Drosophila melanogaster: one gene and its partner. The protein of the gene in region 1 purifies or fractionates together with the protein of each later gene. This does not show direct contact. Each region holds a gene or a part of one and is shown on either strand. Other genes may lie near its edges.

Evidence for each region. The genes of interacting proteins can lie anywhere in the genome.
Region 2: the proteins of Fkbp59 (region 1) and trpl purify together in Drosophila melanogaster (affinity purification with western blotting; one study listed by BioGRID). This does not show direct contact.

The regions. Positions count from the first base shown.
Region 1 is NT_033779.5:9,885,687-9,891,218, reverse strand, and holds Fkbp59 (FK506-binding protein 59kD), read right to left. Parts: upstream 3,215-5,532; 5' UTR 3,077-3,214; coding exon 2,881-3,076; intron 2,816-2,880; coding exon 2,673-2,815; intron 2,553-2,672; coding exon 2,432-2,552; intron 2,373-2,431; coding exon 2,234-2,372; intron 2,172-2,233; coding exon 1,814-2,171; intron 1,760-1,813; coding exon 1,649-1,759; intron 1,588-1,648; coding exon 1,450-1,587; intron 1,343-1,449; coding exon 1,229-1,342; 3' UTR 1,100-1,228; downstream 1-1,099. Other genes in the region: CG4537 (uncharacterized protein), read right to left, coding at 1-86, 146-309; CG34183 (uncharacterized protein), read left to right, coding at 479-507, 566-677, 736-833, 897-1,089. UniProt on the Drosophila melanogaster protein: May have a role in phototransduction; inhibits or prevents Ca(2+) induced stimulation of the trpl ion channel.
Region 2 is NT_033778.4:9,751,642-9,757,420, forward strand, and holds the start of trpl (transient receptor potential-like), read left to right. Parts: upstream 1-2,055; 5' UTR 2,056-2,198; exon of another isoform or gene 2,199-2,336; intron 2,337-3,972; 5' UTR 3,973-4,088; coding exon 4,089-4,118; intron 4,119-4,396; coding exon 4,397-4,542; intron 4,543-4,651; exon of another isoform or gene 4,652-5,761; coding exon of another isoform or gene 5,762-5,779. Other genes in the region: CG1690 (uncharacterized protein), read right to left, coding at 5,762-5,779. UniProt on the Drosophila melanogaster protein: A light-sensitive calcium channel that is required for inositide-mediated Ca(2+) entry in the retina during phospholipase C (PLC)-mediated phototransduction. Required for vision in the dark and in dim light. Binds calmodulin.

The DNA of each region.
Region 1 (5,532 bases):
TGCCGCACATGGCGCATATGGCCTTTTTGTAGGCGCACGCCTGGCAATAGTGCGAACCCATCTGGTGCACTTTCTGTCGGCAGATTCTGGATAATTAAAAATCAGATTAAGATATGCAGATGAATTCTTGAGGAGATTTCCCTACCGGCAAGGTGGTAAAGCAGTCCCTATGGGATTGTATCGCTCGCGGGCCGAGGATAAAGCCTTGTTCTCGTTGATTTTACGTCCTCCCGCAGGAGCTGTGCTCGTTCGCCAGGGATTGGGCGCTGAAACTTTGGAGAGCTTGGCCTCGCACTTCTCGCAAACCATTTTTGTTATCAATTCAATTTGTTTTTTATTTACGTTTTGCAAAAACAGAGTGACCATTCCATTGATATTAATATCGATTGTTTGCTACCGATTGACCGCATATTTCCCAACTAAGTGTCTATCGAAGGTTGTTATCGACCATCTCAATTGCAAATTTTGGAAGCGTAAAATGACTACAGAAAAAGGGGAGCAGTTGAGGTAAATTAAAATAAATACATATTCAATATCACTGAGTGAAGTACTCACTGTTTTCCAGACAACAACTGATAGCGGCGGTGGTAAAGAAACGAGCGGCGATTGCGAGAGCCCATGAAATCGTGGTGCGGCTTTTGGAGCCCGGAATACCGGAGCCCGAGTTCCTGTCCCTGGTAAAATAATGCAAATTAAAAGCTTGACGGGTAGACTAAGCATTTCCTGTACACGCAGCTCTGTGAGATTGGCCCCCCAAATTATTCAGACATAGTGGATGAGCGGGAAATAAACAAACTTTGCGGATATCCACTTTGTTCGACAGTTCTAGAAAAGTAAGTGTTCCAACAGAATCTAGAGGTTCTTCCAATAATTATCCTTTATAACTACTCTTTTAGCGTTCCCAAGCAAAAGTACAGTATCTCCGCTTCCAAAAACAAAGTATACGACATCACAGAACGCAAGAAATTCTGTTCCGGATACTGTTTTAAGGCCTCCGAATATATTAAGTCACAGGTGCCCACATCGCCATTGTGGCTGCGAGATAGGGAGACGAGACCCAGCTTTCAGCTGCTACCACGAAATACTTGACCATCGATATACATAGCTCTCAAAGCGTTTATATTTATTTCGTATAAGCATTAAGACCATTTCTTCATTACATTACTGGATTTTCGATGTGGGATTATAAACCCTAGGGAATATTTCTTAAAGCACTAGTCGATCTGAATTAGATCATGATTATATTGTCGCGCTCCAGCGTCAATTCTGCTTCGCGCTTGGCATCCTCTTCAGACCACTCTCCGCACTTGCTCAGCACGTCAGTTTCCCGCGGAGGTTCGGTCTAACAATCGGTGAAAAATTGGTGATTTCAAGGAACGCAGAAAACACGCGGAGGAACGATATAGAAATGTTGTACTTTATTTGAATTTATTCAGTTGTAGGCAATACCTCTTTGTCGTTGGCAGCCAGTTTGGTGAACATGTTGGCATAGAGTTTCTTCTCCTTGTTCTTGCTCTCTTTGAGTTTCTGCTTGCAGATGATCACTTGGTTGGCAGCCGCTTTGTTGCCAGGCTCCAATTGGATGACCTAATCGAATAAATAGCAATACATTGTATTAACTCAATAAATATACGTTTATCTTGGTTACCTTTTGGAAGTCCTCTAGTGCATCTTCCAGCTCATTGATAGTCAAGTTGCATTGGCCACGACGGTAGAGAGCCTTTACATTGTTCTTATCCAAAGCCAAAACCTCATTACACTAATATAAAATAGTCAAATGTATAAATTATCCGATTTGAGCGCATGTACTCACCTCCTGCTTGGCTTCGAAGTGATCGTTGGACTTTTGGTGGCACAGAGCAATGTTGCTGTGCGTGGCCACCTTAATCTTCTTCACCTCCTCATTGGTATGGACAGTGGTGGGCAAAATGTTCTTGCACTTGGTGTACATCTTAATGGCTAGAGCCCAGTTCTCCTTCTTAAAGTAGTTGGTGCCCTTCTCCTTGTACACCTTGGCCTCAGCCAGGCGCTCCTCGTCGCTCAGTTTCCACTCCTCCAGTCCCTTGCCGCAGTCGACGAGCTTTACTGTGTACTCCACTGTGGCATTTGGTGGAATCTTAAACTCCTCATTGCCCTTTGCTCCAAATGCATACTTGGCCTGGATCTTGATTCTATTACGCGCGTTTATAAGTTAGTCTGAAAAGCTTCTAATGCTCAAAGGGATCTATCTTACCTGGAGGTCTCGCCTACGTTCATCTTCTCCAGGGCAATTTCGACACCATCGATAATGCCGATGGCCTTACCCTCGCCATAATCAAACTCCACATCGCGATCCTCAAACACGCGGCCCTCGAAACTACCAGAAATGTGAGCTGTATTTGAATAACCGCATAAGATATACATAGTCACCGCATGAATGTGATAAACCTACCCTTGACAAAGGCGCCATCGCTGGGAGTGCGCTTTTTATCGCTGGCTTCCAAAATGGTGCGGTCAATACTTCCGTCCTGGTTGGGACTCAAATCCTCGCCCTTCCAGCCGAGCATCTCCAGCTAAGAGGAAGAGTTTTAACGGTTAGTTAGGAGTTACTCATCTATATGTAAAATTCTTAAGAAACGCATAAAATCTGGAATTTTCCATATTTAGTTAACCAATAAAATTTCATTTCCTACCTCAAAAATCAGAGTAGCATCCGGCGGAATGGCTGGCGGGCTGCCGGCAGCTCCGTAAGCGTAGTTTGGAGCACATGTTAGGAAGCAGCGCTCGCCGAGCTTCATGGTGGCAACTCCCATGTCGAAGGCCTTGATCACATTGCCTGCAGGTGTCCGGTGGCAAGTACATTAAATAGAAGTTTCGCGAATTTGCCGGCGACACACTCACCTTTGCCGAGCGAAAATTCGAAGGGCTCATTGCGACTGAGGCTGGAATCGAATTCCGTGCCATCGACCAGGCGACCCGTATAGTGCAGGGACACAGTGCATCCGCTGTGCGGCGTCTCTGTGCCCGTGCCCTCTTTCAGGATCTCCTTTAGGACGCCACCGTCCCCGGACAAGTCGATTTTATTCCCTTCCGGCATTTTTGGCTGCTGAACTTTAATTCGCACGATGATGGCAGAGTGACCAAGCTCAAGCACGTTGGAAAGACCGTATTGATTATTGGGCTCGTGCGTTTTTCAGTCGCTTAACAGAACTGAGTTAACAGTCAGTGCTAACTAAAGCGCCATCTATAGTATTAGGACAGTTAAGGCAGTGGGTACAAAACACAGATAACTAGCTCGGACTCGAACCGTATCACATACCTATTAAAATGGTTTATTAGCTAGAATATTGAAATTTCTTGAGCTAATTAACGATAAAAACTTGAGAAATGCTATTAGAAATACAAACTTTATTTAGTTCGCATATGTTTCAAAATGACGAACAAGCTAATAGGAATAATTTTGTTATATATTAAGTTCGGCACTATGAATAATATTAGCTAAAATGCATATACCGTTCATTGTCTATTTGGTACAATTACAAGTCATTTTCTTGATTAATCCATTTCGGCCGCAATTAATGATATTAAAGGATGTCTGTTGTTCATTTCATTGTGTTGGCGGCTACAACAACAACACACACACACACACAGTGCTCTCCAAATGTAATCTGCCCAGCGGCTTTATGATTGCATGTGCATCCCTATAAGTGTATGCATCAAATATAATCCTGTTATCGTTTTTGTTATATTTGATTATTTTGCCCTTGGCTTTTGGCAGTGCCAACTTCCAATTTCGTATGCCAGCGCAAGAGCAACAGAAATAAATTAATGCACTTAATTTTATTGGTTTCTATAATTCATGCTCGTAAGCTCGTCTGCTATAAGCTCTCCCGCACAGTAGGCCAATTTGGGGGATTATCGCAATGGGCATTCAACGATTTTTTCAAGGTCAACTGGAATGATAAAAATGATAAGTGTGCTCATGTTGCTGGATTCATTCTTCTTCCTACCAGCCAGCTGTGACATTATTTCCTTGGAATTCCGCCTGTGTCTTTATAAATCGCTGCAGCTGTCGCTGTCTCCTCCGCCTACTAAAATATTAGCCAGTCATCCAGCAGCGTTTCATCTTCGAGCTTCGGCACCAACTTCATAAAAGCCCAGAGTCTGGGCGCGCACTTGTCGCTCATTAATTAGGGTTCGTCTACAGGGATGACTACGCTGGAAAAATATTGTATATTACAATATTCCTTCAAAAAAAACGTAGTTTATTTAATAAATACATATACATAGTTAAGAAATAAATTGAACAAAAGTAATCAAATAATACACAATCAAACTAACTAAAGGGCTTATATATGAATGACGTATACGCAATATTATTAAGTATACGTTAGATGTATTAGAAACTTATATTATTGTATAATAAAAAAGATTATTAACTTAATTGTGAGAAGTGTCAACTGAAACGTTTAGAAGTCCATTAAGATGCTATTATAAATGGTGCCACAGGGCTTAGACTTTCGCTTCGGTATGCAATAGTCGTACTTCTTTTGGGCTTAAAGTATGTCAGCATATGCGAATCTCCAGATCTCCAGAGATTCTAGTGACTCCCTCGAAAGCAGCATATATATTTTTTTTTGAGTGCTCCGAGCCGTGTCCCTGTCCAGGCCCATTATTTTTTCAGGTATAGTATAGAGACATTGACCAGCGACGGACGCCCACAATCACGCTGCCTCGGCTGCTGTTGGCGTCTCCGCTGGCAGAGGTCCTGCTGTTGCTCGCTCGTTACTCGACTGTAAACATTCCAGGGCAGCTTTCACTCGTGCCACAGAATACACAGGACCAAAACGGACTCCCTAACGCGGTGACTCAAACCGTTCGGCTGCGCTCGGCTGGAAGCTTCGTTTTTCGTTTTCCGTTTCGGATTGAGTCAAATTGTGGATGCTGCGTGGCTCGTGGTCCATGGCCGTGTGAAAAGCTGCGTTGAGCGCATTAAGTCGTTAGGGTACAACCAGACAGGACGCACTTACTCCGAGCTGCCGCCATTCGCCTGCCTTGGCGTGTGTGTACCGTTAGTTCAGCTGTCCCGTGCAGAGTGGGAAAATTAGCGGGGAAGCCCCAACATCGAACCGAAATCGCAATCGAATCATAGCCAAATTTAAAGTCGCTGACTATCGAGGTGCATAAAAAGAAACTTGCTGGCTAGTGCGTGAAGAAAAAACTGCCAAAACAAGAAAAGTCAAAGAAAATTCAAAGAAAATAAATACTCCAATTCCCTCTGTGGCAGCTCCCGCGCGTCCAAGTGTGTGTAAGTGTCGTCTGTGCGTGTGTGCGTGCGTTTCCCCAAAACCTTCAGATCGAGTGTGTTCATCAACAACAAATAAGATAAAAAATTCAAAAAAAAAAAAAAAATATATATATATTGAATAAAATACAAAATGTATACAAGCGACAAGTAGAAGCAAGTCGCATTAAATCATAGCCAATTAAAAATATTTGCTTAAACGAACCAAGGTAAACAGAACGAGCAAAAATTGTTGCTCTCTCTTCCCA
Region 2 (5,779 bases), on another chromosome or scaffold:
AATTTTATTTGCCACACACGCAAAGTGTGTGTGCAGCGCGGCAGCAAAGCAACAAACCGTTTGGCGAACTGCCGGGTGAATTATGGAAATGCATCATATTATTCCGCAGCTCCTGCTCCTTGGCCAGGATCGCCTCCTGCAGGATAACCTGCTGCAGGATAACCTGCTGCGAAATGTGTGAGGGCGTGCGTGTAACTATGCTACTTACTGTCTGTTTGCTTCTGGGACTGCCATCGCCAGACACACTCAGATCCACTGGAAAGTATTAGGAAAAGCTGTGAAGCTCAACAGAAAGATATAGAATTATGTTTAATTGCACTGGAAAATATTAGGAAAAGCTGAAAAGATCTACAGAAAAATAAAGGAAACTTGTTACCAATTGATTTATACTTTTTTGAGTTGCTGTTCTCCATTATTTATTTGCAGATTTAGATAGCACACAAACTTAGATGTCTTCGAAGTAATAAATTCATACTTAATTTATGTATTATTTATTATAAAATAGTTTATTTGTTAAGTGATTTTCAAAAATTTCGAGTGTATTACTAAAAGCCACGTGGCCAAAACAAGAAGATATAGCACAAAAAAAAGACAGGGGAAGTGCCAGATATATCGCAACGCGGCCAGAGAATCGGGAGATTGGAGCCAGGACGAACCTTAAAGGATGCTTTTACTCCGAACTGGAGCTCTTCGCCCACCGCATGCAGCTTGATAAAAGACGCAGTCATGGTAACCCACCTGCCACACCCGCCTCCTGCTCCTGCTCCACTCTTTTCCGCCCGAAAACCTCATCTGGTGTTTGTTTGTTTGTTTGGCTTCGCCTGTTTACGTGCAGTCATGCGAAGCTCCGGCCCAAACCTCGACTTTTCAGCTGATGCTGGAATCTGCTTCAATTGTTGTCTGTCGCCAAAGGATTCCCCTCATCCCTGCCCTCCTCGGCAGCCCAACAACCCGCTATGCTCCATCTCATCAAAATCCATTTTAAGATTTTTGATTTAATTCCGCCTTTGTTTGGCAAGTTGGTTACTGCTCATGCCCTCTGTGTATCTAGAGTTTAGATTTGCCTGGGCAAATTTGTTTATGCCCGTCAAAAGGCTGACTCTGCCGGAGACATATGAACATGTGAAGGACCCTCTTGGACTGTCTAGCAGTTCGTTGTATCCCAATTGAAGTGGAGCAGCCAGTGGAACCAGGAACCCTTTTCAATAGCAAGTTGAAAATGAAACAAACTATTGAAATAACACAATCATAGGCTCTTTAGGTTTACTTGAAATCAGTTTAATGGGTATCAGCATTTGAAAAAATTCGGTACAAGTGAAAAATTAATTAATTGAATTCAAACAATTACAAGTATTATGCTGCGTTACGATGAAATAATTGCAATATAAAAAAATTAGGCAATGAAAACACTAGTAGTAGATTTCAGATTTATAGCAAGTGTATAATGGTAGAAGGAGCAGTAGATTTATATGCAAGATGTTTCGAGTCGCAGCTATTAACATATATTGAAAACAGCAGCTAATCAATGTCAATCGAACTGCAGGCTAAACTGAAATTTTCCAAATCAAATTACGCACGCTGCATTGGGCAGCACGAAAGTATCCGCAAATGTGCAGCAGTTTGTGGCCGGAAAAGAGCCCGAAGAGCAAGTGGCAAACAATAGCTGTAGCAACCCAAATCAAATCATGGCAAATTAGTTGTAATTCAATTGCCGACAGTCGCCGTCTGGATCGTGGCCCCCACCTCCACCACCAGTCCCACCTCAGCACCAGCCCCTACATATGTTTGGGTCCTAATCCCCTTAGGCGAACTTGGCGAAAACTTGTTGATACTGTGTTTCAGCCCTCGACCTCCACAATTCATAACACCACAAACGTATATATAAACCTATAGAAATATATATATATATATATGTGTGGATAAATGTTGCACGGACAACCTCCAGGCGTATCCATGCGATGGGTGACAAATATTTGACGTTTTAGTCTAATTAAATTAGCCACATCGCCGCTCGGCCCTCGGGAAAGGTATAAATTTCTGCGCGTTAGTAGCAGCGTGTAAATTTCGCAGGTGGCACACGTTCGGGCTGCGTCGCGGGTTGTCTCTCGGCGGGTTTTCGCCTTCAAAAGAGCTGAAATTCAGATATACATAAACTACAACACACATTGTACGGGAATTCGGGAGTTCGGTGGCCAAACGTATTGTTATAAAGTATATGCCAGCATACAATTCATAGTCGCAGTCCTCTCACCTAAGCCGGTCACATGAAATTCCAACGTCCATTGTGCCAGCGAGTCGAACAATTGCACACGTTTTTATGTGCCGGAATGCAAGAAGTACGTATCCGTACGCTTGGTTATAAGTGGCTTAAGTGCAGTCCGTGAGCCAACTGAATTACGTGGCTATATCCTTCATTCATTGTGCTCCTGGTTGCTCCTGACTGCTCCTGGTTGCTCCTGGCAGCTGCAGGTTGCTCCTACCTCTTCCGTTGATTGTCAAGTTGGGGCTGTGTGTGCGGAGCTTGTGGTCTGTGACTGCTGGAGTTTCGATTCAACTGGCTGCCATCGCGATAAGCCCTTCGTTTTTATGAACTCTGTAAAATACTCAAAATTTGTTCTAGTTTTAATGAACTCCAGTGCGCTTGCGACAAAATTATGATACTTCGATCGGTGCCAGGCAGAATTAACACATCTCGGCTGCAGAGGGAGAAATTAGAGTGAAATATCATATGCATTTTACATCGTATGTTAACCGAATAGTTTATACTTGTTATAATATATACAGGTGCAGATATAATCCCATTTCGATGGGCAGTCGCAGTATGCACCTGCTGTGCAGGTGAACAGCTATAAATCCATTTATAAACGCTTCCCATGAAGTGGCGGATAAAACCGAATTTATTGCGACATTTTTATGTCCGTCCGCATTTTCGCCCGTCCTCCGCACTTATATTTCTATTAAGTTAATTAAACAATGCACCATCGGGGCTCCTGGGGTAGTCAGAACCACCTTTTGTTGGTACCGGAAGTGTTTTTTATGGAACAACCGCCATGATGATGGTTCCGAGTTTTTGCCTGCCGCGCATACAAAGCACTTGCATTTTTTATGACCAGCCCAAACACTTTTAAATGCATCTGCAGCATCCGCATCCATATCCGCATGCAGATCCGCATCCGCAGGAGCATAAAGCCAGTTTAAAGCAAAAGCATGTAGACGGAATGCATTTTTTCTTTGCGGATTATCGAAAAAAGCTCCTTAAATATTCATTTTGGCATTGTGTTCACACATGCGGAGGAAGGCAGCGGAAAATAAAAATATTTTCATCGGGTGTGGGAAAATATTGGGAAACAAAGAAATTAATTCTAATGGGAGAAACGATTGGCGATGATGTGAACAATCCAATGAGAGCAGCAACAACTAATACAAACTGCAGTTCGTTGCTAATGAGATGAGTGCAATAAAAATGTAAATCAAAACAGAAAGCCGATTGAACAATTGGTCATAAGTGGTGCAATAAGTGCTCGCGAATTTGGTGTTCAGTGTGGCCTTTGGAATTGACCAGTAACAGTCGGGAAACAGTGAAACTGCACAGTGTCTAATCAACTCACTAAATTGGCAAAACTTAAATCTTGCCCATGCAGATGGCACTTAAAAAGGGTTTAGCCAGCTCGGTCAGTGGCGGAAATAAAAAGAAAAACATTATAAACAGCTTAAATAGAAACTTTTTGCACGCCGGAAACCAGAAACCATAAACCAAGTCAAAAACCACCAGACACACACACACACACACCAACACACACAAGCACACCCAGTTGGACATATAACTATGGACTATACAACTATGAGTACAAAAGCAAAATCAACTTGAAAGTTGCATGTGGCCCGGCTTAGTATTGGACTTTTTTGGCTTTGCCATTGTGTATATAAATATATATGCCATATATGTAAATATCGTTCACTTTTCACTGCAAGTGTGCAAAGCCCTGCGACATGAAGTCGGATTTTGAACTCTGAACCCTGGACTTGGTACATGGAATACTAGTTACGAACTGCTGGCGTTCGGTTAAGTGAAGTGCACTAACTCTAGAATGGGTCGCAAAAAGAAGCTGCCGACGGGCGTAAGTAGAAACCCATCCAGGATCCCGATCCAGATCCGTATCCAGCAAGTAGCATGTCTTAAAGCCGCCAGTATTAGCTAAACGCCGCTTACCTTAAACGCCTCCAATGCCATTTAGATGGAAGCCAGACAATCAGCCCAGCATCCTCCACTTTGCACTTAATTTTCTTGTATGTTTATTTTTTATTTATTTGCAATTCCGCATACACGATTTCCCCCTCGCCACATCGGCATGTACGTATGTGGCTCCTGCTCACCTGTCTCTTTAAATTATGCCAGGTATCGTCTGGCGTCAGCCACGCCTCCTCCGCCCCCAAATCGGTGGGCGGGTGCTGTGTGCCGCTGGGATTACCACAGCCTCTGCTGCTCGAGGAGAAGAAGTTCCTGCTGGCTGTCGAGCGCGGCGATATGCCGAATGTGCGCAGGTGAGTAGCGCTTTTCACGCCTCCGATGCCCAGCAGGGAGGGGGGGGGGGTGGGTGGTGTTTCTGTATGGCATCTTGGGCGGGAGGGATACACTGCAAGAAACTCTTACCACAATCAGGTGTTGGATGAGCATTAGTATTCAAAGTTAATGTACAAGCTTAGCTAATGAATGTATCAATCGAGTAGAACCTAATGTATATTGATATATTTAGCCTTCAATTTAAAAGAAATAGTTAAACACACTACCACATTTATCCGAGTGTAGGGTGTTCGAATAAAAACCCTGACATTTTTAGAGGGGTATCACGAGCTCCAATGGTGGCTTCGCCCAGGGTAACACAGGTGTTGACTGGGCTGGGTCGCACAGGTACCATAAATCCCATCGGGAGCCTCCTTGGGTTCTTTGGATGCGGTGCTGGTGGTGGGTTCAATTATTTGCACACTCGTCTGCCGCGGGCCTCAAAATGGTTACCTAACTGGCATCCCGGCAGCCACTTAATAAGCAATATGAGGCCTTCGACCCGGATACTTTACGCTCGTTTACGGCTTTGCTTTAACAAATGTACGATTAATTCCGTTTGCTGGCAATGAATAAGAGATAAGCCAAATTATCCAAATACTTTTCGGTTGCCACTTAAAGCTGTTAACATGCACAATCAATTCGAGAAACGAATCTTATTGAAAAGCAACTTTTCGGATAACTTAAGTTCCCTTACCTGAAAGCACAACTAAACCTTACTTTTTGTTGACATCCCAGGATGTCATTTATGAACAATTCTTTATTGTTTTCATCGGGCGAGTGATACGGTAACAACAAGCAAATGAGCCGTGTCCGGGGTTCCTGTTTCATTTGTGATTCCCAATACGCTTTGGAGGCATGCACGATGTCCATATAATCTTGCATCTAATGTGAAATTGTGGAAGTAGTGGCGAAGTTAGTGCTAGTCTTGGATCTTGAGTCTACATGGAAATACGGCAACAACAAGCAAATGGGCAGTGTCCTGGGTTCCTGTTCTTCGTGTGATGCTCCTTGCGATTTTTAGGCATGCAAGATAAACCTATAAGCTGACATCTTATGTGGGTAGGGTGGCGAAGCTAGACCTAGTTATGGATCTTAAATCAACTTGAATATTGAGGTGCTGACGGTGCGATGTGGGTAAAAGTGAAAGTGTGACGGCTATGACGTCTATGACGGCTATTTGGGACGTTTTGGGAACATTTAAAAGTTGATAAAACG